Linked DNA regions of Struthio camelus. The protein of the gene in region 1 purifies or fractionates together with the protein of each later gene. This does not show direct contact. Links are inferred from orthologs where the notes say so. Each region holds a gene or a part of one and is shown on either strand. Other genes may lie near its edges.

What was found.
Region 2: the proteins of AKIRIN2 (region 1) and IPO9 purify together in Homo sapiens (affinity purification with mass spectrometry; 3 studies listed by BioGRID and IntAct, counting the BioPlex papers as one, with this or other methods). This does not show direct contact. The link is inferred for Struthio camelus from reciprocal best matches to the Homo sapiens genes AKIRIN2 and IPO9.

Annotation. Positions count from the first base shown.
Region 1 is NC_090944.1:49,341,858-49,357,408, forward strand, and holds the start of AKIRIN2 (akirin-2), read right to left. Parts: upstream 6,345-15,551; 5' UTR 5,891-6,344; coding exon 5,683-5,890; intron 1-5,682. UniProt on the Homo sapiens protein: Molecular adapter that acts as a bridge between a variety of multiprotein complexes, and which is involved in embryonic development, immunity, myogenesis and brain development.
Region 2 is NC_090965.1:2,997,880-3,013,067, forward strand, and holds the start of IPO9 (importin-9), read left to right. Parts: upstream 1-7,402; coding exon 7,403-7,571; intron 7,572-13,932; exon of another isoform or gene 13,933-14,085; intron 14,086-15,188. UniProt on the Homo sapiens protein: Nuclear transport receptor that mediates nuclear import of proteins, such as histones, proteasome and actin. Serves as receptor for nuclear localization signals (NLS) in cargo substrates.

The DNA.
Region 1 (15,551 bases):
GACTGATGAAGGTTCTGTTTCTTCCATAACAAGTCTGATACATGCATTAGCTTACACATGCATTAGCTTATTTTGCAAATGCGTTATTTCAGGAAATCCCAGTTCTCCTGATCAAGGGGTTGAGGAATGAAAAATAAATCAAGCAATGCAAAATGTATTAGACGTAGCAATTAGGTCTTTTTCTGCACACACAAAAAATGTCACATTGGATTTATCAGACTTGCAACTGAAACAAAGAACTGCTTTAACATTTTATGACACCCAAAACCAAGAGTATTCAACATTTATAGTCACCACAAGCACCTATATAGAAAATTCTCCAATAAATTAAATTAGCAAGTCCAGATGCAACCATTATGTGCTTTTTCTTTTTTCTAAAGGGGTGGGAATATTTTGTTTTTAAACCCCTAATGATCGCTGTGGTACTGGAGCCCGAGAAACTTGGCATCTTGCCAAGGCAATTTAGCGATAGATATACATGCCAATAAATGTTAACAAAACAGAAATTAAGCAGAAAAAGATGTAACAAAACCAACACATCACATTCCAAAGCCAGGAGACTTGTTCCGTTTAGAACTCAAATCTGCACTTGGCTACTGTAAGACTGAAAGTTTCAGACAGAAGTAGTCAACTTTCCTCAAAAGGGGAACTCAAAGGTCAAAGGAGGACAGTCAAAGGCAAAGATTAACATTTCTTCCTATTGAAATAGGCCCAAGTTATTTTCTTGCACAACTTTAAAAATTGATGTTAATTAGGTCCTATGTTTTTTCAGATTGTTCTGTGAAAGAGCAAAGCATACAATGAAGACAAATTCCATTAGCTTCTATTCGTAAATATTCAGTTACCTCTTCTGACAGATGAGACTCTTAAAACCAAATATTTGTCACCTTTAAGTATAAACATTTGCCGGCAAACTGAAATTATTTCATAATTCATCAATTTTTACTTATCCTGATAGCAACTTTCTTTTTCGAAGACTGGAGGCAAAAACATGGAAGGTAATAATTCAGTGCTGAATTAACAAGGAACAGCAGTCCTGAAAGCTAGCCTTATCCACAAGATGCATGCAGTAGCAGCACACTGCTCTGCAGAGCAATCAACACACCTCCATTCGGAGATAAGTTTGTAGGAAATAGTCTTACTTTTCACACCTATCCAGTCAGTGCCCTCACTTGTTGAGGCTGCCATTAAAGTAGCAAATACCAATTACGTATACCCACTGCAAAACAGTGCATAAACCCAAGCTTCCAGACGCCATCAAATGTTTGACATTACCTCTGCTTGGATTTCAATCGATAACCTGAGGTGAAGGACTCTTCTCAATAGCCCCACCCACTGCAGCTTTTGGTTTGCAACATCAGTTAGTTACTGGGGAAACATTCAGGCAGATGACTGCTTCAGATGGAGGAAAAAAACTGCATGGTCAGATGCAAGAATTTGCTTGTGGATTTTAAAGCGATTTCACTAACTCTTTTTAAATACAATACTCCTATTGATTCTACAAAGAACTAGCTGCAACGCTGATGTGGAATCAGTAGTATAGAAGAAAGCTACCGATCTCAATCCGTCTTCTCAGCTACCGTGCATGATGAATTAGGAGATTTAAATTCCTAAGGTCGATATTTTTTTTCCCTCCTTCCTCATTTCTTTGGACAGTACTTCCCAGTATAGCTTCAGGATCAGAAATATCCAGACAGTGGTCTTTCTCACACCTAATTTATTTTTTTCTTCATAAATTTTTCCCCTAAGTGTAATCTTCCATTAAGGTTAAACTGCAAATAACCTGTTCTAAGACACCCATTGGGAAAAAAAAAAAAAATTACTCCACTTCTTCCCCTTTTCATCATTGAAAACCTATTTAACAGCTTAAAAATAAGACAGCATTCTGAAGACTGTAAAGACACAATGCATTATCCAACAGGCACAGGCCCAAGTCCAGTCCTCCTCATAAAGCCCACTCACTCATCCATACTTGTGTGATACGGCAATGCATACCCTAACAGAAGTTAGGGTTTCTCCGCAACCCTGCAGAGAAAAATTTTCAATCTGGTAAACATTTGTGACTACCTTCCTGCTGCAACCCAGCCACTCAAAGCATCATCAGTTCCAGGGCACCTATCCAACACAAAGTTATTCTGATCATACAGAACAGTCTCCTTTACAGCTAGAATTTGATGAAGGTAAAACTCATCTGTACTATTCAAAAAGCAGGAAATTTCTTAGGAAGAGCTATTCTTTCAATATCAAAGCCATCTTGCATCAGGCAGCCATGTTCGATATTGCTCATAGTGAAGGGAGTTTCGAAAAGATAATCCTAGATGAAAACAATGGTATCCAAAAATTACCAAACATACTCAAAAAAACTCAAGTAACAAAGCCCTCAGAAAGTATAGACCATGAAGCCACAATTACAGTTTGTCTGCCAAATTCACTGAGAAACTGGAAGTGACCTAACAGCTGTTCAAATAAGACCAAAATATTAAAATACTCTTGTGAAATATAAATTTCACCTTGAATAAATGTTCTAACAGACACAGTTTATTAGCTTATGAGCATTCTGTACAGACAACTATTTTCTCATCTGACTTCCACACTGTATCCTTAGTTCTCAGCCCCCCACTTCTGTATTCTGCTTCCAGATAACTCATTTTTGAAATGATTAACCAGATGTTAAGAAGGTGAGGTGCTAACATATTCTCCACTGGTTAAAGTTGAATGGTACCAGGACACAGAGTATCAGGTGGAAGAAAAATGTTTTAGTCTGAGGTTAAAGTATCAACATCAGGTTTCACATTCAAAAATCTGGTTGCATATGAACATCAATTTTCATTAAAAGTAATTAAGGCAGACGCTCTTTCTTCAAGTGTTGGAAATCTCTGCATTACAGTAATATATTGAGAAAACTGTAAGCAAAATCAACTGAACTCTGGCTATTGTTGCTAAATTTCTCAATATAAAAGCTGAACAAGACAGTAACTCATTTGGGATCACTTTTAACATGAGACTGGAACCCTTTTCAGGCATAGCGGAAGACTCCTCAGACTACATGAGAAACAGCCATTTAAATTCCTCCAACAGCCAATGGAAAGCACACACTTCTGAGACGCACTTTGTCTCATCCCAAGTCGGAGCCCTAGAGTAAACCATCCATTTCTTCACAATCGAGAAAATAAGATTATTAGCTCAGATGTACATTTACAAGGTTAGATGAGATGAATTCCACACAATCCTTCAAGTGGCCTCTTCAAAATGATAGGCTCTCATTTTAACCACACTGAATCATATATACAGTTACGTAATATAATAATATCAATAAAGTTAATCAAAAGAGAAAAATTAAGCAAGCTCCTTCAACAGTCACATTTGCACTAGCACTATATAAAGCTTTTGCATTAAAAACCCGAGCAGCGGCTTTCACGCAAAAGCTGTGTAAATGGGCAAACCTGCATCCACGCAAAGCTTTTCTCAGGAGTATTCAGTACTGTAAGAGACATCTTGATTCACTATCCTTTACCTTTCATTATATTATATAATGTCTTTTAGAAAATAAATCCTTGTTAGTACATAATCACATTTTCAGATGAATTACAACCTGTACCCCTAAGAGTACCGGTTATCTCTTTCTCAAGAGATAATGAGGCCTGTATCTGTTTAACTTCAGCAACCATTTCAGATTTTAAGGGCTTTGTATTGATTAACATTAAAGACGGGAGTACAGGTAATACCCACAGCAGCATTTGAAGTAATATCTCTGCTGAAAATTGTGTTTGCTTCCTTTCAGCAACACGTACTTACTGGCCAGAACACATTTTTATTAGATATTCATAACCTAAGTCCTCCAATTCCCAATGAAACAATCCAAAAGAAATCCCTGTAGTGCAGCAACACCTCAGCTTCTATCAAGAATTACATTACGGTTTTAAACGTGCATCTTAAGGTACATAGAATGCTTCACTGTATTAGGGAGTGTCATCCCTCACAAATCTCATCCCTGACCGCTGACTCATTCAACATCTTTTCCCAGAGGTTTAAAAAAATGTCAAGGCACTGATGTCAAGTGTAAGAAAACAGTTTTTCATATGCCCTCTGTATCTTTCTGTGGCCCCCTACAGCAATTTTGGGGGTACTTGATTAAAAACTCAAAATGTGTGCTATTGAATACTATTCAGAACTAAATACCAAAAAAAGGACACTGTCCCACACGGACTTAGCAATTTAAACCTACCGCTTCGTAAATATGTGCAATTCTCCAGGATCAACTTTTGCATAAAAATGAGTAATGAATGCAACAGGAAAAGGAGTTCAGTTATAACAATTACAGAGGGCTCTTTCCTGCCCACAAAGGACCCAGACCTTTACCTCATCACTACAACCGCTCATGACTGCAAGCATAAACGTTCTCAAGTGCATTGCTGGAAGCTAAGGACCAGACTAACCATAGGAAGGGGCAACCGATTTTGTGTGCCCTGCCAAGTTTCATTCCTTTTTTTCCTGTCCGTACTCACTTGCAAAACAAATTTGGTTGATTTTTAATTGACACAATCACACCAGCCGACCTGGTGCTTTTAGGGCCACCAGTTGAATCATGGAGCAGAACATAAAAAGGTTTCTTTCTCACCCAACGTCTCCGAGAGGAAGACACTAATCGGTTCCATTTTATCTGCCCTAAAGGCAATTCTCGCGCTTGCACACAATCGCTTTCATCACTTGGTTTTCACATGAAACTTTAGGAACACCACAGAATGGGCCATTCGGGACCGTGACACATATTAAGGGGCTGGAAACGGAATTAGCTCTTTGTTTTATCTGCTTTTGCCCTTTTTCCCACTGGCGTTTTTGCGGGTGATTGATGACAGGCCGCGCTCTCCGCCCTCCCGCCCCCCTCCCTCGATGTCTGAGCAACGGGAGGAGGTGCCGCCGCCTCGGCTCGGGCAACGCTCAAGCCGCCGGTAATGGCTGCAGCGCATCGATCGGGGCCCCGAGGAGAGCAGAGGGGCCGGGGCCCGGGCCCCCTCGGCGCGGCCCAGCCCCATCCCCGCCCCCGCGCACGCCGCGGCCACCACCGCCCCCAGCATTTCCGCAGTTTGACTCGCCCCTGCGGCTCTCCCTGCCACATCCAGCCACCCATGGGGGGGGGGGAGGAGGGGGCAACCCACACTCCTCCAAAATCTCCTCCGTGCCCGTTCCCCGACCGAAACTCGACCTCCCCCTTCTTCCTCGGCATCGGATCAAGCCTCCCTCACCAATACCCCCCACCCCGCCCGCCCCCTTCCCTCGCTTCGGTCCCTTTCTCCGGTCTCCCCCCGCGCCGACCCCCTTCCTATGGCCACCAGCCCGCATCGGCTCAACCCGCCCCCCCTTCCTCCTCCTCCCTCCTCCCCCTCTCCTGCTGCAAACGGCCATTTCTATTGTGTCTCCGCCGCGGCGGTGCCAAGCCGAGCAAGGATCGCCCCGGCCCCCGCCGCTGCCAGCCACGCAGCCCCAGAGAAAACGGCTGGAGGGGGGACGCGGGTGACACCCCAGCCTCCCCGCTTGCTCCTTCTCCTCCCCCCCGCTTCCCCCCGCCGCCGCCGCCTCCAGCCGCCTGCCGGCCCCCTCCCTGCCCAGCTCCCCCCGCCGCCGCCGCCCCGCGCCCTCCCCGGGGGTGGGGGGTCCCGGGCCCGGCGGGGCCGCCTCCCTCACCTGTGGTGAGCCGGGACGACACCTCTCCGAAGGGCGAGGGCTCCATGCGCAGGTATTTCTGCGGGGAGGCGGCGGCGAAGGAGGAGGAGGAGGAGGAGGCGGCCGAGGCCGGGGCTGACAATGGCGCACATCGCCTCCGCTTCGGGGACGCCGGGCTCAGCAGCGGGTCGAAATCCAGAGTCCTTTTCAAAGTGGCGCCGCAAGCCATGGCGCGGGGCGGAGGAAGGGGGCTCGGAGCGAGGGGCAGGGGAGACGGCGGCGGCAGCCGGCCCTGCCCAGAGGCTCCTTGGCCGCTGTCTGGGGCGGACTAGGGGGGAGGGAAGGGAGGGCGGCAGGGAAAGGAGGGGGCGGCTGCGTCAGGGCCTCCGCCGCCTCCCCGTCGGCCTCTCTCTGGGGAGCGGCCCCGGCCCCCGGCGGCTCCGGCTCGGCCGGCCGGATCCCCTCTCTCGCCGCCCGTCCTGCCCTAGCCGGGCCAATTCCGCCTGCGGCCGGTGGCGGGACGGGAGCTGGGCCGGCGGGCGCGGAGCTGGGCCCGGCTACCCGGCCCGGGGCCGCCGATGACGAGCGATGGCGACAGGGCCCCGAGCGGCGGCGGCGGCAGCGCTTCCCTCTGTGACTCCCACACCAGCAATATGGCGTCAATAACAACGCCGCGGATTCAAAAACCAGCCCCCTCCACTGCGCCTGCGCGCCTGGGGCGGCGGCGGCCGCGGAGGCTCAAGGGACTTGTGGTTTGCCTACCCCCGCCCCGCGGCTCGGCGGCCGGGCGCCCGCCGGGGGCGGGGGGACTACAAATCCCGCCGTGCCTCGCGCCGCCCGCCCTGGCTTCCGGGTTCTGATTTAAATCCCCCCTCGGAGGCTGCGGAGTGGGGTGCGGGTTAAAGGACGAGGGGATGAGGTGGGCGGGATGGCGGCGCCCAGCCCCGGGGAGGGGGAAGGGAGGTTAACGGGCACCCTCGGCGCCCCAGCCAGCGGCGTACCTTCCCCCCCCGCCGCGGGAGCCGGAGAAGCTCCGGGGAGGTCCCGGAGTCCGTGAGACACAAAGGGAATGAGAGCCGGGCCGCCGGCGCTAGGCCGTTGGGCCTGCCCGCGGCCGCCAGGCAGGCTCCGGCCCGGCCCCTCTCTTATTTATTTTATTTATTTTTTTCGCAAGTGCCGAGGCGGTCCAGCAGTGGTTCTGTCTCTGCAGGGTGCTTGCCTGCCTTCGGAATAAGGGCGAAGGGCAGTTAGTGGCCTCCGCGGTGAGGACGGAGCAGGGAGCGTGCAGGAGGCAGCTCAGAGGTGCAGAGCAGGTGGAGGTTGTGGCTAAGGGCACGCCAGCCAAAAAAAAAAAAGAAAAAGAAAAGCGTGTTGTGCTGGGAGTTGTACCTCGGTGACACCAACCGATTTTTCTGCTGCTTACATAAATGGCTTTCTGGCTTAAGGAAGGTAGTGAGGGAGGCGGTTCAAAGAGCTATGGGTTTGTGTGGAAAGGGCAGAGAATGGTTCGACTTCCTAATGGAAACAAACCGTGTTGCATTTTAGCGCTCTGGAAAAGCTAACAGGAGTTGGTAGGCCTAAAAACCTTCGACTTTTCTGTATCAACTCTGAGTTTAACTATTAGCATAAAGGCAGGCTTGCCTTTGGAAAATGAAGCAGAGTATGCCCTCAGAAAAATCTTTCAGCTTTTTATTGTTATTATTATTTTGGTTTAGGAAAAATAAGCCAGCCTTTTTCTAGGGGCATTTGATTAAGCCTTTTCATTTTTTAATATCATTTGGAAGTAAGTTTTTGCTTTACAGGTAATATGTTCTTTAATTAGCATATATTGCTAACTAAACCTTAATAGCACCCAGTCAGTCTGAAAACAAATCTTAGCCCGTGTTAGCAAAGTGGTTGTGCATCTCTTGGCATAGCTGAGGTTGTAAGAGGTGGGGTGACCTGGCTGAGCCTTTCTGCCCAACAGAAATAGAAGTAGTAATTAATAATTTGCTTTCTCTGTGACAGATAGCTCATGACAACGTTGGAACAACTAGGATAAATTTTCCTTAGGTTTACTTGATTTGGCATGGCCTAAAACTAATTACAGAAAATAGCGAAAAGATTCTTTTGGCTGTTATTTTTTTTTCCTCTGTGGAGGAAGTACTTAAAATATTTCCTTACTAAGGAGGAATTTGACAAGCCCTTCTAAAACTAAGACAAGTTCTGGTTCTCCATAACAAGGCTAAGGAAATGTACTGACATTGTTAGAGTGTTATAATTGTCCTACTATTGTTATATGGGTATAACTCCTTCTGTGGACGCTCTTATTTGGAATAATGATGGCTGTTTTTCCATTCATTTAATTTGCAATTTCCATTAAATTTCCCTAAGCAACAAGCAAATTTCCCTCATGTTCACGCAACATTCTGGTATTCTGACCAAGCACTTCACCCACGAAGACTGAGGCAAAGTTGCTCTTACAGGTTTTGAATTAAGGAAATCTTGCCTGTCTTTTGACACAGGTATGATGCGCTTCTGTAGTGTAGAATGCTCTGTGCCTGTACAGGACTAAAACAGCCAGTTCTGTCTTCATCTCTGTGTTGTGATGTGCCCATGTTTGCATGCAATTTTTGGGGGGGAAAAAAAAAAAAACACCACCAAATTTTAGAATAGTCATCACTCTCCCATTGAACTTCAGTTTTGTGCTGTTTAATATGCATTTTCTGCCTTCAGAAACAGAGAAGATTCAGATATATTAGCTCAAGTGACACCAGATCCTAAAGAGCATTCAGGTGCAATTTAAGTCAATTAAGACAGTCTGAGGAAGCAGGCAAAACTTCATCAAGATAAGCTACTAGAAAGCAAGCTTTTGCTGAGGCAGGCAGGACTATAATTGTAAGCAATTGATTAGAAACATGATTGTCCTAATCAAGAGTTACTCAGTCTTTAGGGGAGTAACTAAAGCTGACCTTTAATTTGTTGAGCTAAACTGAAATGAGTCTGATTTAAGTCAAAATAAGAATTCACACAGCCCTTTGCAGCAAATTACACCCAGCTAAACCAATGCAGCTTTGCATGTAGACAAGCCCTAAGGCAGCAAAATGTCCAACAGCAGTGACACTGTTTGATGGTTGTCAGGGAACATGTGTTTTTACTTTCATTGTGGCAGGAAACACCATAGGGTCAAAGCTGCAAACCACTGTTTATATTGTTCTTTCTTCTACTTACTTGTTATGTAACCAGCTTGCAGTGTCCTATTTTGTGCTACATAGGGTGTCTTTAGAAATCTGTGTGTTATGAGAGTATTTTTAAATGAACAGCATCAGCTAATTTCATTAATTGTAGGAGCAGGGCATAGTTTATTTACCGCTAGTTTTGTACTGTTTTTTACTGGATATGCACTTCAAGCATGACACCTGTTGAAAAGACATGTCCAGATGTGGGACAACGTTATGACCTTTGTACAGTTTTGACTGGGGTGAGAAAATAACTGTTTTAGTATATTGCTTTGGGACCACGATGAAAATGCTCGTTGCCTGAATGCTGGTCTTAATCTTTTCTTCTGTCCTCATCTCCTTCCTTCTGCCATCGCTCCGTTCCTCCATTGTTCTGAGTTTTTTGCTGTCTTCCTCTCATTCTCTTTATGTCCTATGTTGACTCTGCTTCCTCTTCCTTTTCCTTGAGACATCCTATCCATTCTGTGCAGAGTCCACATCCCAGTCCTTTTTTCTTTTAAGCTGTCTGACCGTATTCCTCCCACGTATGGAACAACGTGACACTTCACGCGGTGGGTCATTTCTCCTTAACCGGTTCTGCTCACAAGCACATGACCTCAGGTTAGCTAAGCTGGAGCTTTGTTCCATCTTACCCTAATTCAGGAAAAGTCACATTAGCAGTGTCTGCCATTCCAGTTGAGTTTGGTCATACATCTCAAAGGTTTCTTAGTGGTGTATTAGGGGTACTTTGTGCCTGTAGGCTTTATAGGCACAACGCAGTAGAGAAAATCTGTCGGATTTCAGTGAAATGTTTGTGTGGTGCCAAGTGAAAAATGATTAGTTAAGCTGAGAAAATGGGGATTAGTGCAGGAGTTGCGAGGTGGGGAAAACAGCCAAAATAAAAAATTCAGTCGCTTTCTCAGTCTGCTTTGCTGTGCAGTAACAGAGTGCTGGCAAAAGAGAAAGGATGCACAGAGGGAGGGATGAAAGCCAGAGGTCAGGGAAGGTCAGCTCTTCTTCTTTTGGTGCTGATTTATGCTGGTAAAGCGTTCCTGAAGTTAAACTCTGAACCTGCAACATGGCGTGACCTTCAATAGGGCAAATGGGATCCTTTGCAAGGAACGAAGGTATTAAGGTGTTTCTAGCACAAATACAGAAGTATTGGTGCAGTATTTCATCTGAAATAATGTATGTAATTCCAGTCATACAAATTCAGGAAAGAATAATTCAAAGTAGAATTTGTATAGAAAAAGGTGACTGGGCTAATTAGGAAAACAGGAATGGAAGACTTAGTTACTGCAAGAAATTAAAGGAATGTTTGGCCTAACCAAATAGCAGTTGAAGTTTATGATTTGTCATAAGAAATAAAGCACAAGAAGCAGATAAATTCCAGAGAATTTTAAGAACTATTTTAGTTTTAAGGACCATGCTGGTACAAGAACTGGTAATCGCTAGACCCAAACTGGAAATCACAGAAAGATTTATAACTACCAGCCGTAGGGGATTCCAGAGCAGTCTTTCAGTAGCAGCAGTATGGGTAGAAATAAAAAGAATCGAAATCAAATCTGGCTGGTCTTTAAATTAAGCTTACTATTATAAGTAAAGGGATTTATATAATATGTTGCCTCCAATGGCACGGCACTGTCAGGAGGGACCCAGAAAGTCCTTGTAGTCATTTTGCAATAGAATGTGGCAACTGTGAAGTCACAGTGAAGCTAAACTTTTTACTTGCAAGAAGGTGAAGCGCAGCAATAACCCATTTCAGTGAGTTCACCTGTATTCAGGACAATACATTGAGGCTATAAAGGGAAAATTGCTAAACTCACTGGTGTATAAGCATGAATTGTGTTAACAGACCTGGATATAGAATAATTAGGAAGCAGAGAGTAAAATTTTACAGCTCTACCTACTGCAGATATTACCTCTACAATTTCAGGAAGGTGTTGGTATTAGCAAAGTACAGAATGGCGCACTTCAACCATCTTTTGTCAGTCATGACCTTGAATAGGTTCACCAGAGTAATGAGGTGTACGGAGGGCAGTATCATGGAGAATTGGGAATGTTACTGCAACCTAAAGCAGAGTTCCTTATTCCCCAATGCCCTGCGCACCCATGCCGTTCCCTACCAAACGTGCCCTGTTGAACATTTCAGTACACAAATAAAAACTTCTGTCATGCCTGTCTTTGTTATCTTTTATCCTTGTTTGCTTACTTTCAGAGTATAAGGAGTCTGCATTTTCAAACTGCACATTGGAGGTGCCCTGCATGAATTTTTTGAAAAGCACTGAATGAAACTAAACTCTGCTTTCCTCTTGATCCTCAAAAGCTGCCACTGTTTTAGCAGAAAGAAAGAGTACTCTTATCTGCAGAGATTCTTTCAAAAAAAAAATTCATTATTTTTTTATAGGACAATTTATTGTTCATGAGTGATTATACTAATAAAGGAACAGTATGCTATTACTAACCTCAGGGTAGAATCAAGTCACCTAAGAATACATTGAACTGGAATGATGGAAAAAATTACAGGCCAAATATTAATCCTGTGAGTAATATTAAACATGTGAATTAAGAGCCACTGAAGCCAAACATCCTCTCAGTTGTGTGACTGCCGCTCAACTGTTGTGGTGGACGGGAGCCCAGGTTCTCACTGAACTCACCCAACTGTGTAAGGCTCAGGTGTAGTGAAGGTCAGGTATTTCTTCCATGCCAGGATGTTAATGAGCAAACTAACATAAAACACAGTGATGACCAAGATGTATTAACTATTCCCTACTAATTATATGGGCTGGGGAGAGGGGCAATAGCTCTTAGAGCCTCAACCAGGTTCTTAAGTCATCTCCTGCTGCAGAAATCTTTATTGTCATCCAGGGTGTATAATGGAGACAAAATGCAACTAGAGATCTTAGATGGTTTTTGCAGTAATGGCAGTTGAGGAAAAAAACAACATTTCTTTGTAAAGTAGCTTCATTGTGGGGAACGTTAACAGTTGTATGTAGAGCCTCTCTGGGAATACTCTCAGTTTTCAGAACTATATTTTAAGTACGCTTGAACTTGCTAGGCAGACGTTTCTTCAAACTTAGAGGAGGGTTTAGATACTTCTATTTTGTTCACTCACAAGACCTACCCCTGAAGTTTGGTGTGCACATTGAAGAAATCAGTACATACTTTTGGTTGCAAAACTATTGCTTCTGTGGAAATTTTGCGTGTAAGCTCAGTGGAAACCAGCTGAAAATGTCATTGTTATTAGACTCACTTTTCTCAAAGACTCACAAAGAACAAGAAAGAACTGACGACTTAAAACTCGTTATTTTCCCAGATCCTTTACTAAGGGTTGAACTTCTCTTCCCGTATTTTACCTGCCTTTTCCATCCTTCTCTTTTTTTTCCAGATAGTTTCCAACATTTTGTTTTCAGAAACCTCTCTGCCTCTGTGGCTGACCTCTGGGGTCCTTTCTGTTTCCTGGCTGATATGTGCACTGTGCCATCAACATACAACTATGTCTTAACCTGCCTCTCCACGTTGGATCAGTTCACCCCATCTGCTTCTACACCTCTGCCCACCTGTGACAAGCCCATGCAGTACCTTTCCCTTACCTTTTCAATTCGTTAAAAAAGAAAAATTGACAAAAACTATGTGTGTGCTTCCGCTAGGGAATCTTAAACTTCTCCTTTTCGAAACCTCAGCTCAGGGTGTCTCTTTTCCCCATTCTAGCAGTGAACGATTTCATTACCCACCCTCCGCTCCCCTTTTCCTCATTGTTGCCTTCGTCCCCCCTTTGTGGGCTGCCTATTGTTCTTCCCTTCAGTTTCGGGCTGCACCTTCAGGGCCCTGCATTGTTCTGCTGCTGCTTTAATTCAGCGTTTGTGTCTTTGCTGCCACACATTCTGGTCCACCCAAGCTTTCCTCTAATCACTTCCTTCCTTACCTCCTCGTGCTTTCCTCTGGGGGCTTTCATTCATGCTGCCCTTTTTGTTTTAGTCTGGAACAAAGGCCTCGGTCTTGTGAACCAAATCCACGCTGTCCTCGTTCAAATCTCTCCCTATAAAATGTACTTCTGCCATAAAGCCTATCCAGCACAGATTCCTTGGCTGAAATGTATTCCATTCGTCTATAATAAAAAAAAAAAATCCTGTTTCATAACAAAGCAGAAAGAACTGAACGAGAAGCTGGCTATGCAATTAACTTTTGCCAGTTGCTTTCTGCCAAGAGCAACATACTTGTTCTTATCCCGCTCCTTAGGATCGTCCTCCCCATATGCCTTATGTTTGTCCTTTTGTTTTGTTATCAGCATTTGGGTCCTTCCTGAGGGGTCCTGCCCTGATCCTGTGCTCATAGGTGGCCCTGATCCTGTGCACCTTTACATAGCTGTAAAGTGAGGAGTTACTTCACTGAAGTGAACAGAGCTTTGCCAAGGTTAGATTTTTGTGAAAGGAGAATCGCCACTTTTTTTTTTTAATATTAGCTAATAAAGACTGTGCACAGCTGCAGTGCAGCATTCTGGTTTTAATTAATAAAAATTAGCATACACATCTACATACACTCTTTTCCCCCTTTGCGTGCTCAGCTACTTTGAAGAAAACCTCTTTGTATGTCTTCCTGGTTATTCTATATCTTAACTTTAAAAAACAAAACAAATAAAAAATGAAAACCAAAGTAACACAAAACTCCCACGCGAACAAAAGGACTGACTACTCCCGGTGACCTGGAGCACTGGGAGAAGCTGTTCCTGCCTGCCGAGAGGAGCCGACTTCCAGGCTGTGCTCTCCGCTGCTGGGGAGCCGTCCCGTTCCCAGCCTGCTGTCCCTTCCTTCACGTTTGCACAATCTCACTGCAGTGACTTCCCAGTCGTAATTGGGGCCTCTGGGCATTATTGTGTTATTATTATTTAATAAACGACCACATAAAACATTGGTTGGCATTTAAATAAGAGTAAAGAAAGGACAGCTCTGACTCCGAGACTGTTTTACTTTCCCGTTGACTTCAGTGGAAGCGGGAGCAGGTTTTCTACACAATACCTACACTAGCACGACGCATGCTCACCTTTAATGTTTTAGAGAAGGCACTGCTTGCCGCTGTTAATGTGGCCCCAGTGCAGATGAGGGGCCAGACCTATGGCAGCTGTCAATCCCCGTCGCAGCAGGAGCTATTAAAGTAGAGCTGCAGCCTGGACGTTCCCAAGTAAAATGCACTAACAGCTTTTCTTGCCTAAGCTATCACCAGCCAGTATTCAGCATCGTTTTCTGCATTGTTACCCACAGCATGTAGCTTCCAGTGGTTATCTGAAGCGCGCAGCCATCGTGATGCTATTAAGGAGAACAAAAAATGGAACAGAACAGAGAAGAGAATTTTATTTTTGCATTGGATTATAAGTTTCAGACATTTCAGAATAAGAGTTATGATGACAAAAGAAAGCAATCTGTCCTTGAAGTGAACACAGCGGAGCACAACTCATTCAATAAGATTTTGAAAGAAAACAAAGAGTTGAAGGCCAGAACTGAGTCCTTTAGAAACAAGTTTAAAACGAGGCAGGATCCAGAATGCTTAAAATACTTGAGTGACAAGCAACAAAGAGGTGTCTGTTACTATAACGAATTGAATTAAGTAAAGAGAGAGAAAATCTCGAGATCTGCTTTAAAAAGTAGAGATTTGATGTATGGGGAGTGTAAGAAAATGTTCTTGGGCCATGCCTGGAGCCTGAATCAGCACAACCCTTTTCCTTGAAGAAAGTGAAAAGTAGACGAGGGTGAGTTCATACACCCTCCTTTTTCACTGTGGATCAAAGAAGTGGAATTTTCAGGGCTGCCAGCTTTCCAGTTTCCTGCAGTGAATCTGGAGTGCCGATTTTTTTTTAGACTATATTCTATTGTATTTGGTTTGTGTGTGCTGTGTAGGCAGTATTTCGCTAATACTCTAAATGGTCAGGTCCTATGATGGACTTCTTGTGAGATCTGAATCTTATTTACTAGTTTGTATGTGGTATAAACGTTTAAAAAGTTTTCGGTAGGAGTGAAACACCACTGCCATTTATAAAAAATATATGTATTTATGCTTCAGTTCTAAGGACTTCACCCCTCATTCTTCCCACCATTTCATTACATGCTTGCTCTCCTTGTATTATATATTAAAAGCTTCATGCAGTAGTTCACTTGCATTTAAATACGTGGACTGTAATAATTCTGTGATGTTGCTTGGAACTTTTGCATGAACATGTTATATAAAGTAAGTGTGGGCACTACAAATGCATTGCAGATTTTTCATAGATAAACTCAGTCAGAGAATGCAAATATGAATGAATTTGTGTGCAAGATTTAATATCTAAGCAGAGCTTGTAAATGCGTAACACCTGTAACCACAACTGTCAGTGCAAACAGAGAAACTAGTTTCAAGGTGTCTGTGCTGATTTAAAAGTGCTGCATTTTGAAATACCTCAGCTGAAATGGTAGAGATGTGTTCATCCTCTGGCAGGTATTAAAGTGCATAAAGTCTGTTATTAAAGAGTACAAAACTTTATTAGCAGCTGATATTCCAGAAAGATTGTGCAGGAGACTGGTGAGGACTGCCATATAAGGCAACTTGTTGCTTTTAAAGACATCGTATAAATCTTATTGTGAAACAGATTAAAAGTGCTGGTTGCTGATCTTAGGGAGATGTGTGTTAAACACGGAGATTTTTTTCCGTAGCTAAAATGGAAAT
Region 2 (15,188 bases), on another chromosome or scaffold:
GATTAAATGCATATATATTCATATTAACAATGAAATAAATGCAGTTAATTTTGCAGAATGACACAAAAACTGTTTTCTATTACAGCTGACTGTGATGCATGGAGCATTGTTCAAATATTAGCGTATTTCAGGGAAAAGGGAGTTACAGTGAGGGACTTCAGCTGTAGGCCAGTTTCCTGGCAGGGCAGACAAAAGATCAGCGAAGAACAAGAGCAACAACAAATGTTGCAGTTGCTGTTTCTGCCAGCAGGAGAGATGTGTATGTAGGACAGGAACACACTTTTCACATGTTTCAGGCAGGGAATGTCTCCAGAACATACAGGGAGGAAGCAGCTACCTGGAAGCAAAATTAAGAAGTCGAGATGACTCTTCAGTCCTGTGATCTGGAAATAAATATAATTTTCCAAGAGAAGGGTTGAGGTACAGCCCTGAAAAATAGCTTTATCCTATGTTCAGGAGAAATGAAAAAGCCACGTTTAGAGAGTTGTCCTCTAGGATGTAAATACATCAGTCTTTGGAGGCGACAGTCCCACACCAAGAAGAGAATAAAAACTAGATGTAGAACAGGAGATAAAGCAGTCACACTAGGTTAATAATCCCCGAGGTTGAACATATAGCTTCTATGTGAGACAAACAAAAATGGAACATGAGCATCAGTGGGTTCCAGTAAAAAGAACTTGGGTAGAACAAGCAGATGTTTTATGAAGAAAACAAAGGAGTACGAGATACGCTTCTGGTTCCAAAATTCAAAGTGAAGCGAGGAATGTTTGCTTAAATATGGTTGGAAAGAAACATTGACATACCCCCAAATAAAAAAAAAAAAAAGTGCAGCGTCATCTGTATATGAAAGCACCTGACGTATCTCAAATTTTCCAAGTTCTGAAATGTTTGTCAAACCTACTACTTGCAGTAATGTTTTTAAAGGTCCTTGAGTTTTGAATTGCAATACCGGGTCAGATTTTTAACAGCGTGGGGGCTCAGCTCCTGAATCTATGAGAACTAGGCATCTAAAAACTTACAAACATCTATTTTGTAAAATGCAGTAAAAATGGTAGCTCCCTGTCTACAGCATATGCAGTTAGCTTGATGAGCTCTCCATCACACAGGGTTTATTAAGGATAAAACAGTGTTGTAGAATGTTTGTAGAGCGCGTAGGCTGCTTCAGTATCTGTTGGGCATTTGGGGTTTCATGTTCTTGTTGCTGCTTGAAGTTAAATCTTAATCCAGCTGGGGACTGGCCAGGCGTAGATTTCCTTGGCGTACTGGAGACGCTGGAGCGCGCTCCCCCCCCACCAAACATGCCAGTGTGCCTATGTATCATGTAATGTCTCATCCTCCTCATTCAGGCTGATGCTGTCTCTGCCCCTTGTGTTAGCCCTTACTTCTTTTGGAGGATTTTTGCTCGTTACACCAGTCCCATATCAGCTGTGCATCTTTCCATGGGGGTCCTCTGTAGTGCAGGTCCACAGGGGAGCTCAAAGGCTTCCCCTGTGCTAACCATGAACTGAAACACAGGAAGAAATGAGTTCGTTGTAAAATATCTTTTCACGCTAAGACTATAATCTTTTGCAGAGAATGAACTTAATATCCCTAAAGCACGTCTAAAGAAAAGATAAGTGGAAGAACACTTTTAGCTTTGAAGCAAAATAATATGGCACTTGAAATGTGAGCTCTACATTTGCTAGCTTTGGAGGAAGTATGTACGCAGATACTGTGCGTGAAGAGATCATGCAACGTACCAAACAGGTGGGACTTCAAACCTGAAAAAGCCTGGAAGATTCAAACAAATGTTATTTGTACAAATGGAAGGACAAGCTGGAGCATTCAGAGCGGTTGTACAGTGGCTTGGACAAAAAGAAGGATCACAGGCTAGATAAACCATGCTTTGGGGATACCCTTCCTATCCCCAAACTGCATCCTCATTTTCTGCAAAATCATAGAAATACAGAGGAAACACAGCTCTCGTTAGTAAGAAGGGACAAAAATGATCATAAGTACTTTATACAGACACATGGACGGTCACTTGTTACAGTGTTAGCCAGACAGCAACAAGGGTACTAGAGGGAAGTCTGGTCAAACAGTCCTAGAACTGTATCATTGATTTTAGTGCAGTGGGAATTTACCTACGGAGTCCACTAAACCAGAATATTAGGACAGGCCCAAGATGACTAGATTACCCTGGGCTTGTGAAAGCTACACCCTGCATAAACATGTATTTGGTCCTCCAGTAGAAGCAGTATTTTGGATTTGGAAGCACAAGAGAGAAAAGTCATCCCTCATCTCCTCACCGTCTCTAGCCCTAGCAAGGAATGTGGAAGCTCAGGGAGGCAAAGGGTGTACGGGCACATCATGGTCGTGCCTATAATTAAGAAGAGACAGGGTCTCTTCTCTGCTGGTGAATGCGTTTGTTGTGGCGTGGTTTGTAGCCATATTGCAGAAGTCTGCTCAAAAATACCAACCCAGAATAGTCTTGCCTGTATCGCTTATTGGGAATGATCTCTGCTGTCCCCAACTCGCTGGCTATTGCCTGGGAGAGCGCTTTTTGGCATGGGACTGAAACAGTGCTGGGCATTGCCTGAGCCTGTGCTCTGGCCCAGTTTAGTTTAGGCGGAAAGATGCCAACCCAGTTTTCCTAACTCTTTTAGAAAGTAAAAGCTAATTTCATGGCGCTGGGATGTTTTTAACTTGGTGTTGTGGTGGAATCATTTTACCTAACTGCAGCTGTCTGGAAAACATCTAGTCTAAGGAGAGAGGAGCGTCTGGAGAGTGAGTCAAGCAATCTCCACTGAACGCCTGTTTCGAATGTCAAGAGTCACCTTCTGGAGCAGCTACCGCGCTCTGAGCAACTACCTGGGCCTGGCGCGGTTGCAGTTAAGGCCCAGCCACTGTAAGCGAGAGCTGTGGACAATGGAAGCAGGTCCTAAACACCACTGCCCACACACAGAGGACAGGACAGCCAGGCTTGTGTTTCTGTAGTATTTTGAGTTGTCGTTTCTACTTGTAGAAAACTTTTTCTAGAATTCCAGAATTGATATGCATGCTTTATATCAGAATTTGCTTGCAGCTTTCTTGACAAGAACATTTCAAAATGTACTGCTGGGGAAAATTTCACTGGACACATTTATCCCAGTGGAAGGGACTTCAGTGCAGAGGAGGCCCGCAAAGCTGACTCGGAATACAGCAAAACACACAACAAGAGTAATGGGTGGATGGCGAAAGTATGTCTCTACGGGAGCATGGACTTGGGCACAAATAGCAAGGTACGCTTATTTATTAAATAGCACTAGGAAAAGACTAATAACCAAATATTCTTAATGGTTGCGTGTTTATTGCCAGGTGATCATTCGATAACCCTCATGTAGCTTTACAGCAGAAAGAAAACCCTGACAGAGTGACCAGGATAATGACACATTTTCTCTCAAAACAGAAATTCCCTCATGCTGGAGGGAGTCTAAGTTGTAAGAGACCTATAGGGAAGGAGTTACAAGTGCCTATCACAGCCAGACCAAACACGGGGTTAGCATGACTTCTTTATAGCACTTACTAGACTCACCCACTGTATTGGGCTATTTTTATATATGGATCACTGTCAACAGTTTCACTGTGGTTTTGCTGAAGAGGAATAAAGACCAAACAGTCATCCCCAGGAGTACCGTGCTCCAAGAAGAGTGGGACCTGCTAGTACCGTGCCAAAATGCACCTCTATCACCACATAATGTCCCTCAAGTGAGAAATCTGTTTTTGTATGTGTTCATATTGCTTTTTTTGGTACTTGTAATGATTTGTAAAATTGCTGACACTTCCTAAATAAACAGTTGTAAAAAAGGAGAGATGGAAATAGAGCACACTTTCCTCTTCCGTGCACACGCGGCTCTCGCTTTACCCACTGTTCATGACCATCGGTAACTGCCTTGCTCCTGCCTCGTAAGGCATGAGGGTTGCCCATTTTCACAGAATCACAGAACGGCCAAGGTTGGAAGGGACCTCTGGAGATCAGCTAGTCCAACCCCCCTGCTCAAGCAGGGTCCTCTAGAGCACATTGCCCAGGATCACATCCAGGCGGGTTTTGAATATCTCCAGCGAAGGAGACTCCACTACCTCTCTGGGCAACCTGTGCCAGTGCTCTGTCACCCTCACAGTCAAGAAGTTTTTCCCCGTGTTCAGATGGAACTTCCTGTGGTTCAGTTTCTGCCCATTGCCTCTTGTCCTGTTGCTGGGCACCACGGAGAAGAGGCTGGCCCCATCCTCTTGACACCCTCCCTTCACATACTTGTACACATTGATGAGCTCGCCTCTCAGTCTTCTCTTCTCCAGGCTCGACAGGCCCAGCTCTCTCAGCCTTTCTTCAGAGGAGAGATGCCCCAGTCCCCTCATCATCTTGGTAGCCCTCTGCTGGACTCTCTCCAGGAGCTCCCTGTCTCTCTTGTACTGGGGAGCCCAGAATTGGACACAGTACTCCAGGTGAGGCCTCCCCAGGGCTGAGGAGAAGGGGAGGATCACCTCCCTCCACCTGCTAGCAACACTCTGCCTAATGCACCCACCCCAGGATCCCATTGGCCTTCTTGGCCACAAGGGCACACTGCTGCCTCATGTTTAACTTGTTGTCCCCCAGCACTCCCAGGTCCTTCTCTGCAGAGCTGCTTTCCAGCAGGTCAATCCCCAGCCTGTCCTGGTGCATGGGGTTATTCCTGCCTAGGTGCAGGACCCTGCACTTGCCTTTGTTGAACTTCAGGAGGTTCATCTCCGCTCAGCTCTCCAGCCTGTCCAGGTCCCTCTGAAAGGCAGCACAGCCTTCTGGGGTGTCAGCCACTCCCCCCAGTTTAGTATCCTCAGCAAACTTGCTGTGAATGCACTCTGTCCCTTCCTCCAGGTCATCGATGAATATGTTGAACAAGACTGGACCCAGTACCCCAGTACCTCTGGGGGACACTGCTAGCTGCAGGCCTCCACTGCAGCTAGACTCTCCTTAGTAGACTCTGCACCACTGACCACAACCCTCTGAGCTCAGCCATCCAGCCAGTTCTCAAGCCACCTCACTGGCCACTCATCCAACCCACACTTCCTGAGCTTACCTAGGAGGATGTGATGGGAGACAGTGTCCAAAGCCTTGCTGAAAACCAGGGAGACAACATCCACTGCTCTGCCCTCCTCTACCCAGCCCGTCATTCCATCACAGAAGGCTATCAGGTTGGTCAAGCATGATTTCCCTTTGGTGAATCCATGCTGACTACTCCTGATCACCTTCTTGTCTTCCACATGCTTAGTGAGGACCTCCAGGATGAGCTGTTCCATCACCTTTCCAGGGATGGAGGGGAGGCTGACAGGCCTGTCGTTTCCTGGCTCCTCCTTCTTGCCCTTTTGGAAGACTGGCGTGACATTGGCTTTCTTCCAGGCCTCAGGCACCTCCCCTGATCTCCAGGCCCTTTCCAAGGTGATGGAGAGTGGCCTAGCGATGACATCCGCCAGCTCCCTCAGCACTCGTGGGTGCATCCCATCAGGGACCATGGATTTGTGGATGTCAAGTTTGCCTAAATGATCTCTAACCCAGTCCTCCTCCACCAAGGGAAAGTCTTCCCTTCTCCAGACCTTCTGCCTTATCTCCAAGGTCTGGAATTCCTCAGGACTGGCCTTAGCAGTAAAGACTGAAGCAAAGAAGGCATTCAGCAACTCTGCCTTCTCTATATCCTTTGTCACTAGGGCACCCGCCCCATTCAGCAGCGGGCCCACGTTTTCCCTAGTCTTCCTTTTGCTATTGATGTATTGGAAGAACCCCTTCTTGTTATCCTTGACATCTCTTGCCAGATTTAATTCCAACTGGGCCTTAGCCTTCCTTGCCGCATCCCTGCACGCTCTGACAACGTCCCTGTATTCCTCCCAAGTGGCCTGTCCCCTTTTCCACATTCTGTGGACTTCCTTCTTCTGTTGGAGTTTGGCCAGGAGTTCCTTGCTCATCCATGCAGGTCTCCTGCCCGCTTTGCTCGATTTCTTCCTCAGAGGGATGCACTGCTCTTGAGCCTGGAGGAAGTGATGCTTGAATATTAACCAGCTCTCCTGGACCTCCCTTCCTTCTGGGGCCCTACCCCATGAGAGTTCTCCAAGTAGGTCCCTGAAGAGGCCAAAGTTAGCTCTCCTCAAGTCCAGCATTGCCGTCCTACTCGTTGCCCTGCTCCCTCCTCGTAGGATCCTCAACTCCACCATCTCATGGTCACTGCAGCCAAGGCTGCCCCCAACCTTCACCTCTCCAACTAGACCTTCTTTGTTCGTTAGTACAAGGTCTAGCAGTGCACCTCTCCTTGTTGGCTCCTCCACCACCTGGGTCAGGAAGTTATCCTCAACGCTCTGCTTTCTTTTGCTACCTCCAAATATCACGTGCAGCGATGCTCAAACCTCCGAACATGAATCAAGAACTGGAGGCTTAAATTAACTCCCAGCTGTGCCGCGGCTCAGACCCACCTGAGCCACGCGCTTGTAACCTGCCGCCCTGCACCCTGCTGCAGCGCCCAGACCAAGCGCTGGGCCTGCTCCCAGGCCAGCCAGGCGCTTTGGCAGCACTGGCGGCATCTTTTTAAAAGCAGCCGCAGATGTGAATTTACAGCGTTTATAAGCCAAATTGAAGTATTTGCGCGTAGGACGCTACCTCTATGCCCCTTAGCAGATGGCCCCGGCTTTTCATGGCAAGCTTTCTCCTCCTTGTGCTTGAGCTAAACCATCTCTTAGGGCTGCTTAAGAGCTCTGTAAAAATCACAAGCCTCCCGTTGGGCCAAGGGCAGCGCTGGCACCGGTGAGGCCGGCGGGGCGCCGAGCGCTGGGCTGGCGGCACCCTGCGCGGGTGGAAGCAGAGGTGCCCGCGGGGGCGAGCGGCCCCCTCGGCACTCGTGCTGACCCCCCGTTGCCAACCACCGCAGCAAATTTTTGCCGTGACTCTAACTGGGGCCTTTGCAGCCCCGTTTCTCTCTGCCGGCTCCAGAGGCCTCAGCCCGGGCAGCGCCCCCGGACCAGCCGCCTCCGCGGAGGCGCTTCCTGCCGGCCGCCGCCGAGCTGCCGAGAAGCGGCGCTGCCGCAGGCGGGCGCGGGGCTGCGCGGGCCGCGCGGCTCGCTGGGCTGCGGCCCCGCCGGCCGGCTCGGGCCGGGGCCGCCGCCATTTCGGCGCGCGGTCGCCGCAGTTCCCCGCCGGGCGGGCGGGGGGCGCTGCGGGCCGCGGGGGCGACATGGCGGCCGCGGGGGCGCCTCTCCCGCCGGGCCGCGGGGCCCTGTCGGCGGCGGCGGCGGCGAGGGCGCCGCGCGGCGGGGGGCGGGGCGTGCGTGCGTGCGTGCGTGCGTGCGTGCGTTTGGCGCGCGCGGCGGCCCGTAGCCCGCGCGCGGCCGGCGGCGGTGGCGGCGGCCGGCGGGGGGCGGGGGCGCCATGGCGGGCGCGGCGGCGGCGGCGGGCGGCGCGGTCGGCGGCGGGCCGGGGCCGGTGGCGCAGGGCCTGAAGGAAGCGCTGGTGGAGACGCTCACCGGCATCCTGTGTCCGGTGCAGGCGGTGCGCGCCGCCGCCGAGGAGCAGGTGAAGGTGCTGGAGGTGACGGAGGGTGAGTGTGGGCCGGGCCGGGCCGGGCGCGGGCGGGTGGCGGCGCCTCCCCCTCAGGGCCCGCGGCGGGCGGGCGGGCGGGCGGCCGGCGGCGCGGGGCCCGGCCCGGCCCGGGGCAGGGGCCGCCTCGCCGTGCCCGCCCCGGAGAGGCGCCGCCATCGCCTCGCAGCGCAGCGGCCGAGCGCACCGGGCGTCTCTGCTCGAGCCCAGCGCCGAGCACCTCGCTCGAAACTTCCAGCCTCAACTTTCTTGCCCGCGGGGAAAGCAGAAATACCCCGGGAGCTGTTTTCATACAGATTCGACGTTTTGCACCCAGTCTCTTTTAAACGAGTTACGCATCAGCTCGGAAATGCACCTGCGGGTTAGCATGTGTTTAATTTTTGCCAGGCGCACCTACGGGCTTCAGCCTGCTGGGGAAGCTGCTGGGTGTTGCACCGAGACACACGGCCCAGTTTCTTCAGGGTGTTTGGGCGCTACTCTGGTCGGGGTTGGAGACAGCCTTTGGACAATGTGTTGCTCGCAAGCTAGGTGAGAAGGGAGGTGAGCAAGGATGGAGCGGTCTAAATTCACTGCTACTAGGATGTTGGGAGGGGTTGAGAGTGGCTGGCGATGCAGCAGGCCTGCTGCTTTGGCCACCTCTTTCCACTTGAGCCAGAATCCCCCCGGGATGTTCACGCAGTGGTCGTTGAAAGTCTTCCCCCAGCGCCTTTTGTCTAGCGGGTCTGTCCCGCTCTCGCAGAGTCCTCTCTGCTTCCAGAAGTTTGCGCGCCCATGTGTGCGGCCACGTCCTGCAGGTCTTCACCTGTAAGTGGCTTGTTTAGGTTGGATATGGTCAGACGTAGCCATTCCCTTGTCTTAATCTGAAGCTCCTCCATTAGAGCTTCTGGGTGTTTGAGTGTTAACTGTGGAGTGGTAAGGACATAAGCAACACTGGAACTGGATGGCAACTGGCTTGTGACTTTCAAAAGCTAGTGCTTAAAAGAGCAAGTGCCTCCGGTTCAAACACTGTCTCTGGTTCTTCCTGTACTCATTTGACCTTTTTGTGGTTGCAGTACACTAGTTCATGAACTTAGTTTTTTCTCTTGGGAGAAGCTACACTTAAAATGTTGTTGATGGCTGTATTTTATTTCACATAGGCTCCTGTTTTAGGACCCGTCCCAGAAGAGTGGAATTTGTCAAAGCCAGTGGGAAATTTGCTGGTAGCCCTCTGTTACAGGAGCTAGGCACTGAAGAGTGAGATGTTGTAGGTCCTGTTTCCAAGTTGTGTACGTTGATGTCTCCTCTCCGCATGGGCCCTTCTGGAAATTTTACCTTAAAGTAGGAAAGCTGTTTATGAAGTATTTTCTAGTTCTTCTACTCCACAGCTTTAGTTCAGAAATGCTATCAAAGGAAACTTACAGTAAAGAGAAGGCAAAATGTAAGGGTGCAAATGGGTCAAGAATAGCATCGTGATTACGTTACCCTGAAAATGAAACTGAGGGTGATGAAAGGAAGGTGAACTGATCACGTTTCCTATTATGCAGTCCTTTCATGTGTGTTACTCTCTCAGATTAAGGCTTCCTTGTAGCACGACTAGGAAATTTGTGTGTTGCCACCGTAGCTGTTGGAGGTTTTAATCAGTGATTAGATGGCATTACAGTAGTGTGATTCTGGAATTGCTAAGAGGTTCATTGCCCCGTAGGGCTCTTGCCTTGCATAGCCTTGCATTGCATGCTCTTCAGCAGCAACTTGTGTTTTTTAAATAATCTGAATGTTAGCACAAGAAAGCAAACCACATTTGTCTGATAGTTTGAGTAGCAGTTAAATTTCCAGAAAAGAACATTTTCTTAGCAGTCTCTTGATGATAGATGTCATTAAGGTCCCTTTGAGAGCCTAGAAAGGCAACAAAATTACGGTTTGTGGATAACTTTTGATACATTCTTCTTCAATGAAATATTCAGGGGAAGAGGAATGGAGTTGTCTGTGCCTTCTCTTTTACAAATATCCTAAAATCATGCAACAGTTCTCTGCAGTCATAATCCCAGTACCGCAGGAGTCTCTCTTGGGACCTGTCCTGTTTAACATCTTTACCAGTGACTTGGAGGAGGCAAAGAAATACACTCTCCTTAAGGTTGCAGATAACCCCACATTGGGGAGGGACTGGTTGATATGCTTAATGGCAGGGCTGCCATCCAGAGGGTAGTAGAGAGGCTGGAGAAATGGTCCGACAGGAACCTCATGATATTTGGCAAGGACAAATGCAAAGTTCTGCACCTGGGAAGGACGAACCCGTTGCAAGGACACTGACTGGGGAGCAGCTCTGCGGAAAAGGCCCTGGGGATCTTAGTGATTAGTTGAATGTGAGCCAGCAAAGAAGGCCACCTGCATCCTTGATTGTGTGAACGGAATCAAAAGTAGTTACTAGGCCTCTCATCCGCACTTCTTAAACCACATCTAGAATACTGTGTCCAGTTTTGCAAGCCCCTTTACAGCAAAGACCTCAGTAAACTGGACTGGGTTCAGTGAAGGGTCCCCAAGATGATCAGCTAGAGAAGAGAAAGCTTTGGGGCAGGAGGGGACCTGACAGTAGCTTCTGAACGCTGTGAGGAGGTTGTTAGGGCATCGAGGGCAGTGGGGAAGGATGAGATAAAATGGATACAAATCGAAACAAGAGAGGTTTGCATATAAGGAGCAATTTTTTTCACTGTGAGGACAGTCGTGCTTTGGAGCAGATTGTCCAGAGATGTTCTGCAGTTTCCATCCTTGGAGATATTCAAGTCCTAACCGGAAAAAGCTCTGAGCAACCTGGTCTGATCCTTTTGACCCTGCTTTGTTGACGAGGTTGGACTAGAGACCTCCCAAGGTCCCCTCCAGCCTGAGTTATTCTGTGCTTCTTGTGATTCCTTCTCTCTTGCCTTAGTCAAGGAGCGTGGAAAGAGTATTGCTATCTTTTCCTTTCTGTACTTTGATATGGAGAAACTTGCCAAAAAGGAAACTTAAGAGAGGAGCTAAAGGAATAAAATGTTTAACAACACCTTATTATTGGGGTAAAGAAATGTAGATTGTGTCTGTCAAAAATATTTTAGAGAAACCAAAAATCTAGTATGATTAAGCAGAAAGAAGCTGTTGAAGGTAAACATGAGGGCCTTAGAAAAGAGCGTAAGTGTTGGTACTTTTGATGAAAAATATATGAGGTAGGCCAGAAAAATTGAGGAAAGACTTGTTAAAGACACGAAATATAGCAGAAGCAGAAAGCATTTCAGAGAGTTTACATAGCCACCAGATGTTGGAAGTGGAAAAGGTATGTTCAGGGACCACAGAAAAGCTAAATTCCTGATGTTGCTATTCCTTTAGGTTGCTGTGTTGGAAGACCTCTTTACAGCAGGCACGTTGGAGAATCCATGTCAAGTTGAAGCATGAGTAGGAGACGTCTCACTTGGTCAGTTTACTTTAAGCAGCAAGTGCTACATGATGAATCTCCAGGAGTTTTAAAGGCCCTCAAATATTAAATTACTGTGCTATGAATTATGTTATAAAACTTGCCACTAATGTGATTTAGGGACCAGATAAGGGTAGGTGAGTAACTGTGAGGTCAGCTTTTAATAAGGACTCTGAGGTAAGGAATAGAGGGATGGATGTTGGGGTGGTTATAGGTCATCAGGTATGGCTTTTGCACTGTCTGCAGTGCTTAAAATTATGTCAAGAAGTGGAACGAGTAGACCTGGATACATGTGATTTTTGTGGCAGAGTCAATGTATGTTTAATAGAAGTGCTGTTTGAAGGAGTGCTGGGCTTGTCAGAAAGCTTTTAGAAAGTTTCCTTTCAGAAACTTTTCACAGAAATTAAACAGCTGTGGACAGGTCTTGAATTAATAACCAATTAAAAGCTTGGATACAGGACTTTGTAGAAGTGACTTGTCATATTCCCCACTGGAGGGAGATAGCTAAGGTCCCACATGAAGCTGTACTGGGGTCTGTGCTGTTCAACACGTCCATCAGTGATGTGGAAAAGAGTGAGCAGTGGTGGTGCTGGTAGTACTATGCTATTCAGTTTGGAAGTGGAAACTGGTGGCAAAGAATTGCAGAATAATTTCACAAAAGTGAGTGGTGGCATGTGCAAGTGGAAAATGCAAGTCAGTGTTGATAAATGCAAATTAACGTTTGGGGAGGAGGAGAAGACAGCCCAAATGATACCTAAAAAGTAATGGGCTATAATATCTATTACCACTTGGAGAAGAGATGCCAGAGTTAGTGTGGGGAGTTCCCTGAAAATGTCCATTCGCTGCTCTGCAAGGCAAATGGAGCGGTAAGAAGGGAACAGAGAACAAAGCGCGACAGCAAATTCCTCATGCTTCTATGGTTTGAGTGCAGCATGCATTACTGGCTTGCTGCTTTCAGAAGGGATAAAGCAGAGTAGTGAAAATGCAGCAGAGATGTGCAGAAGGGTGGAACAGCTGCTGCTCCAAGAAAGACCAAATAAATTGACTTTGCAGCCGGAGAAAGAGCTAGCAGAGATGGAGTTGCTAAAATCCTAAGTGACAGAGAAGGTGAGTGAGGAGTGGTTATTTGTGACTTCTCATAAGGCAAGAGCAAAGGTAGCATCAGGTAAAAATGAACATAAAACAAGTAAAAAGGTAGTAGTTTGTTTTTTTTTGTTTACAGACCGTGGAACTCATTGCTGTTGATGCTTTGAATATTACAGGTAGAAATAATTTAAATGTGATTTGACACTTTTGGAGGAAAAAGTCATTAAGAACCATTAAACATACTGGTATGGATACAGCATTTGTTTCAGGAGGGTCTTAATCCAGAGACTGCTAGGGAACTGTATTGGGGGGAGTATTGTTCTGCCCTAGCCTCTTTTCTTAAGCCACTTGGGAGTTCGGTTGTGTAATACAGTTAAGCCAATATAGCAATCGGCTCTCATGGAGGGGGGAATCTTGCTATGGATTGCATGCTCCCTTGTGCTAGCAGGGTTTAGCCAGGTCAAGACTACTCAATTTTTTTGTAGGGGTAAAAGGGACAACTTGGTGGTTGAACGGTACTACTGTATGTCCCTCTACTGTGACTTGACTCTGCTGTTGGCTTCCTGGTGGTGAAGTGGGGATAGCGTTCCCATTCCCTGTTTTGTCCACTTAACTTAAGCCCTTCATGCATCACCTTTTATGGCATATGTGTATATACAATGGCTAACATACTGTGACTTAAACAATTCTGTAACATTTAAAAAGAAAGGTCTCTTTCTCCAATTCTTGCTGTACTGGAGATGGTTTTGCCTCTAAGCATTCTCCGAGAACGCTGGAACATGTGTAGTGACCACTCTGCTAAATGAGGTGTATGGTGCCTGTCCAAAAGGAGGGATCGTACTTTTAACCTGTTAAGAGGAACAGTGTCTATAATGTGCTCCTCTGAACTATGCTGATATGGAATTTTAATGCCAACTTCTTATACATTTGAAAAATACTTGCAGCTGAGGCTGATGTTATAGCACTATAATTGGGAAGGGCACGCTGTTTTTTCTTTGTATGTAACAAATTTGAGTTTTACAGTGACAGCGTTGAGTCTCTGAGCTGTTGGCTCTTGTGCTGGTGATACACAAATGGCTGCAGACTGGATACTCGCCTTTCTTTTGTCTGTCTAGTTTGTGTGTTTCTGTTTCCCCTTTTTGAAGATAGAACATTTATTTCTAGGGCTATCTTCAGCTTGGCTATTTTTGACATAACCTAGTATATAACCTAGTATTGTGGAAGCAGGGATTATGGACAATTTACAAATGTGCCCACACTTTGTAGTCTTATAGATGGTGTCTTGATTGTAACTTGAATTCCAGTGGAGTGGATGATGGGCACAGGTGGATGGAAGTCCTGTGAATGGATTACTTGAGCTGAACTTTTAACCGGGAGTCCTAGTGGGAAATCAAAACAGGAAGCACTCTCCTTGGGACACATGATGCACGATTTTCAGACAGACTGGTTACTCACAGCAGCAAATTGCTTTCGCTGTGAAATGCTAAGAAACGTGTTGACTTTTGTGAAAAGTTGTGATGAGTGTTTAGAAGTGAGATACCTGAAACCACCACAGCTATTTGAGAAGCTTGACTGTAATCTTTCTGTTCTTCCCTGAGAAATGGGGAAGATGTAGCTGTAGTTTTCAAAGGTGTCCTGAAAATAAGTGAACGCTTCTGGAGCAGTCATTTGGTTTCGTGATGGATGCTGATGGACTTCAAAGAAACTGTGGAGTTTGAATTCATATAGTGAGTAAAAATTACAACTAAACATTAGGTAGTTACTCAATATTTCTTCCTATTAACTCCAGACTTTCTTCCTTTCCTATCTGCAAATGCCTTCCGTCTTCTGCCTTGCTCTGACCTCGTAGCTGACCCAGCTTTGAGCAGGAGGTTGGACAAGATGACCTTCTGAGGTGTCTTTCAACCTGAATTACTCTCTGATGATGCCAATGAACGCTGGTCCTGTGGAAAACACCGTGTGTGACCGTGTTGTTAAAGACTGTGAGGCGCAAGGGATGGGCAGACATTGGGTAAAGAGAACCTAATTTCTGATACTTCTGAAGTTGTCGGATCTGGTCTTGGCACAATTGCATTGTTTTAGTTCGGAGTGCTGGCAATCATGCAGCAGTGGATTGACCTGGGTTGGCTGTGACAACTACCATGGCCTGTTTTTCAGCCAGTGCTTATCTTTGCCCCCCAGCAGAGACAACTGAGAGGGACCTGTAGCTGCTCCTGAATCATTTGAGTGTGGTCCTATTAGGCTGAACTTAATTGGCGCTGGCTGACTTTAACAAGCTAGGCTGTGAAGAGCACTGATTGCCTAGAAAGTCCTGCTCATTTATTCCTCCCTGCTTGTCTAATAATAATTTTTTTTTGGTCTGGTCTGCCTTCATTTCTCAGAAAAGTTGTGGGTGGAGAGCTAGTAGGTTATGTCACCTGGTTATGCAGTAGATGAAGCTTGGTTGTGAAGGAGGACAGTTTGAGAGCAGGATTTTATTAATGTCTCCTTAATGGAGAGGTGAAACAGAGTAGGGATGAAATATATTTGCTAAATGCCCCATGTATCAGGCCCTCTATTAAAAGTTGCTAATCTTTTGTTTTTACAAATTTTATTTTGGGAGGAAGACTTGATGTTTCTGTTGTATCAGATATAAAAAATGGAAGTGAAAGAAGCGCTTAGGAAGAGATGCATTTGAATTGCATTTATCTGCAGTACAGATAGAAAGCTCCCAGCCAATGAAAAGGAGAAAAAAGAGTTTTAAAAAAAAAAAATTTTTGAAAAAAAGAGAAGAGGAGACAGCAAACTATATGCTGATCGATCTAACTTCAATCCCTAGAAAGGTTCTTGGAGCAGATCACTAAAAAGTTTGCCAGTGTCTATAACATAATAGGATGCTAAACAGCTAATACGGTTTGATATGATCTGTTCTTGTTAAATCTATCTGATTTTGTTTGACAGGAGAGTTGGCCTGTTCCTTAAACAAAAAGGAAAAAAAAAAGCACTGGTAGGGTATGATTTCAGCAAGGTTTTTTTAATATGAATTCCCCACGAAGTTCTTTTCTGTCAGCTGAAAATATACATTTTTGTAACATTGTGAGATGCACAGGTGGCCGAAAACCTGCGATTTAGAGC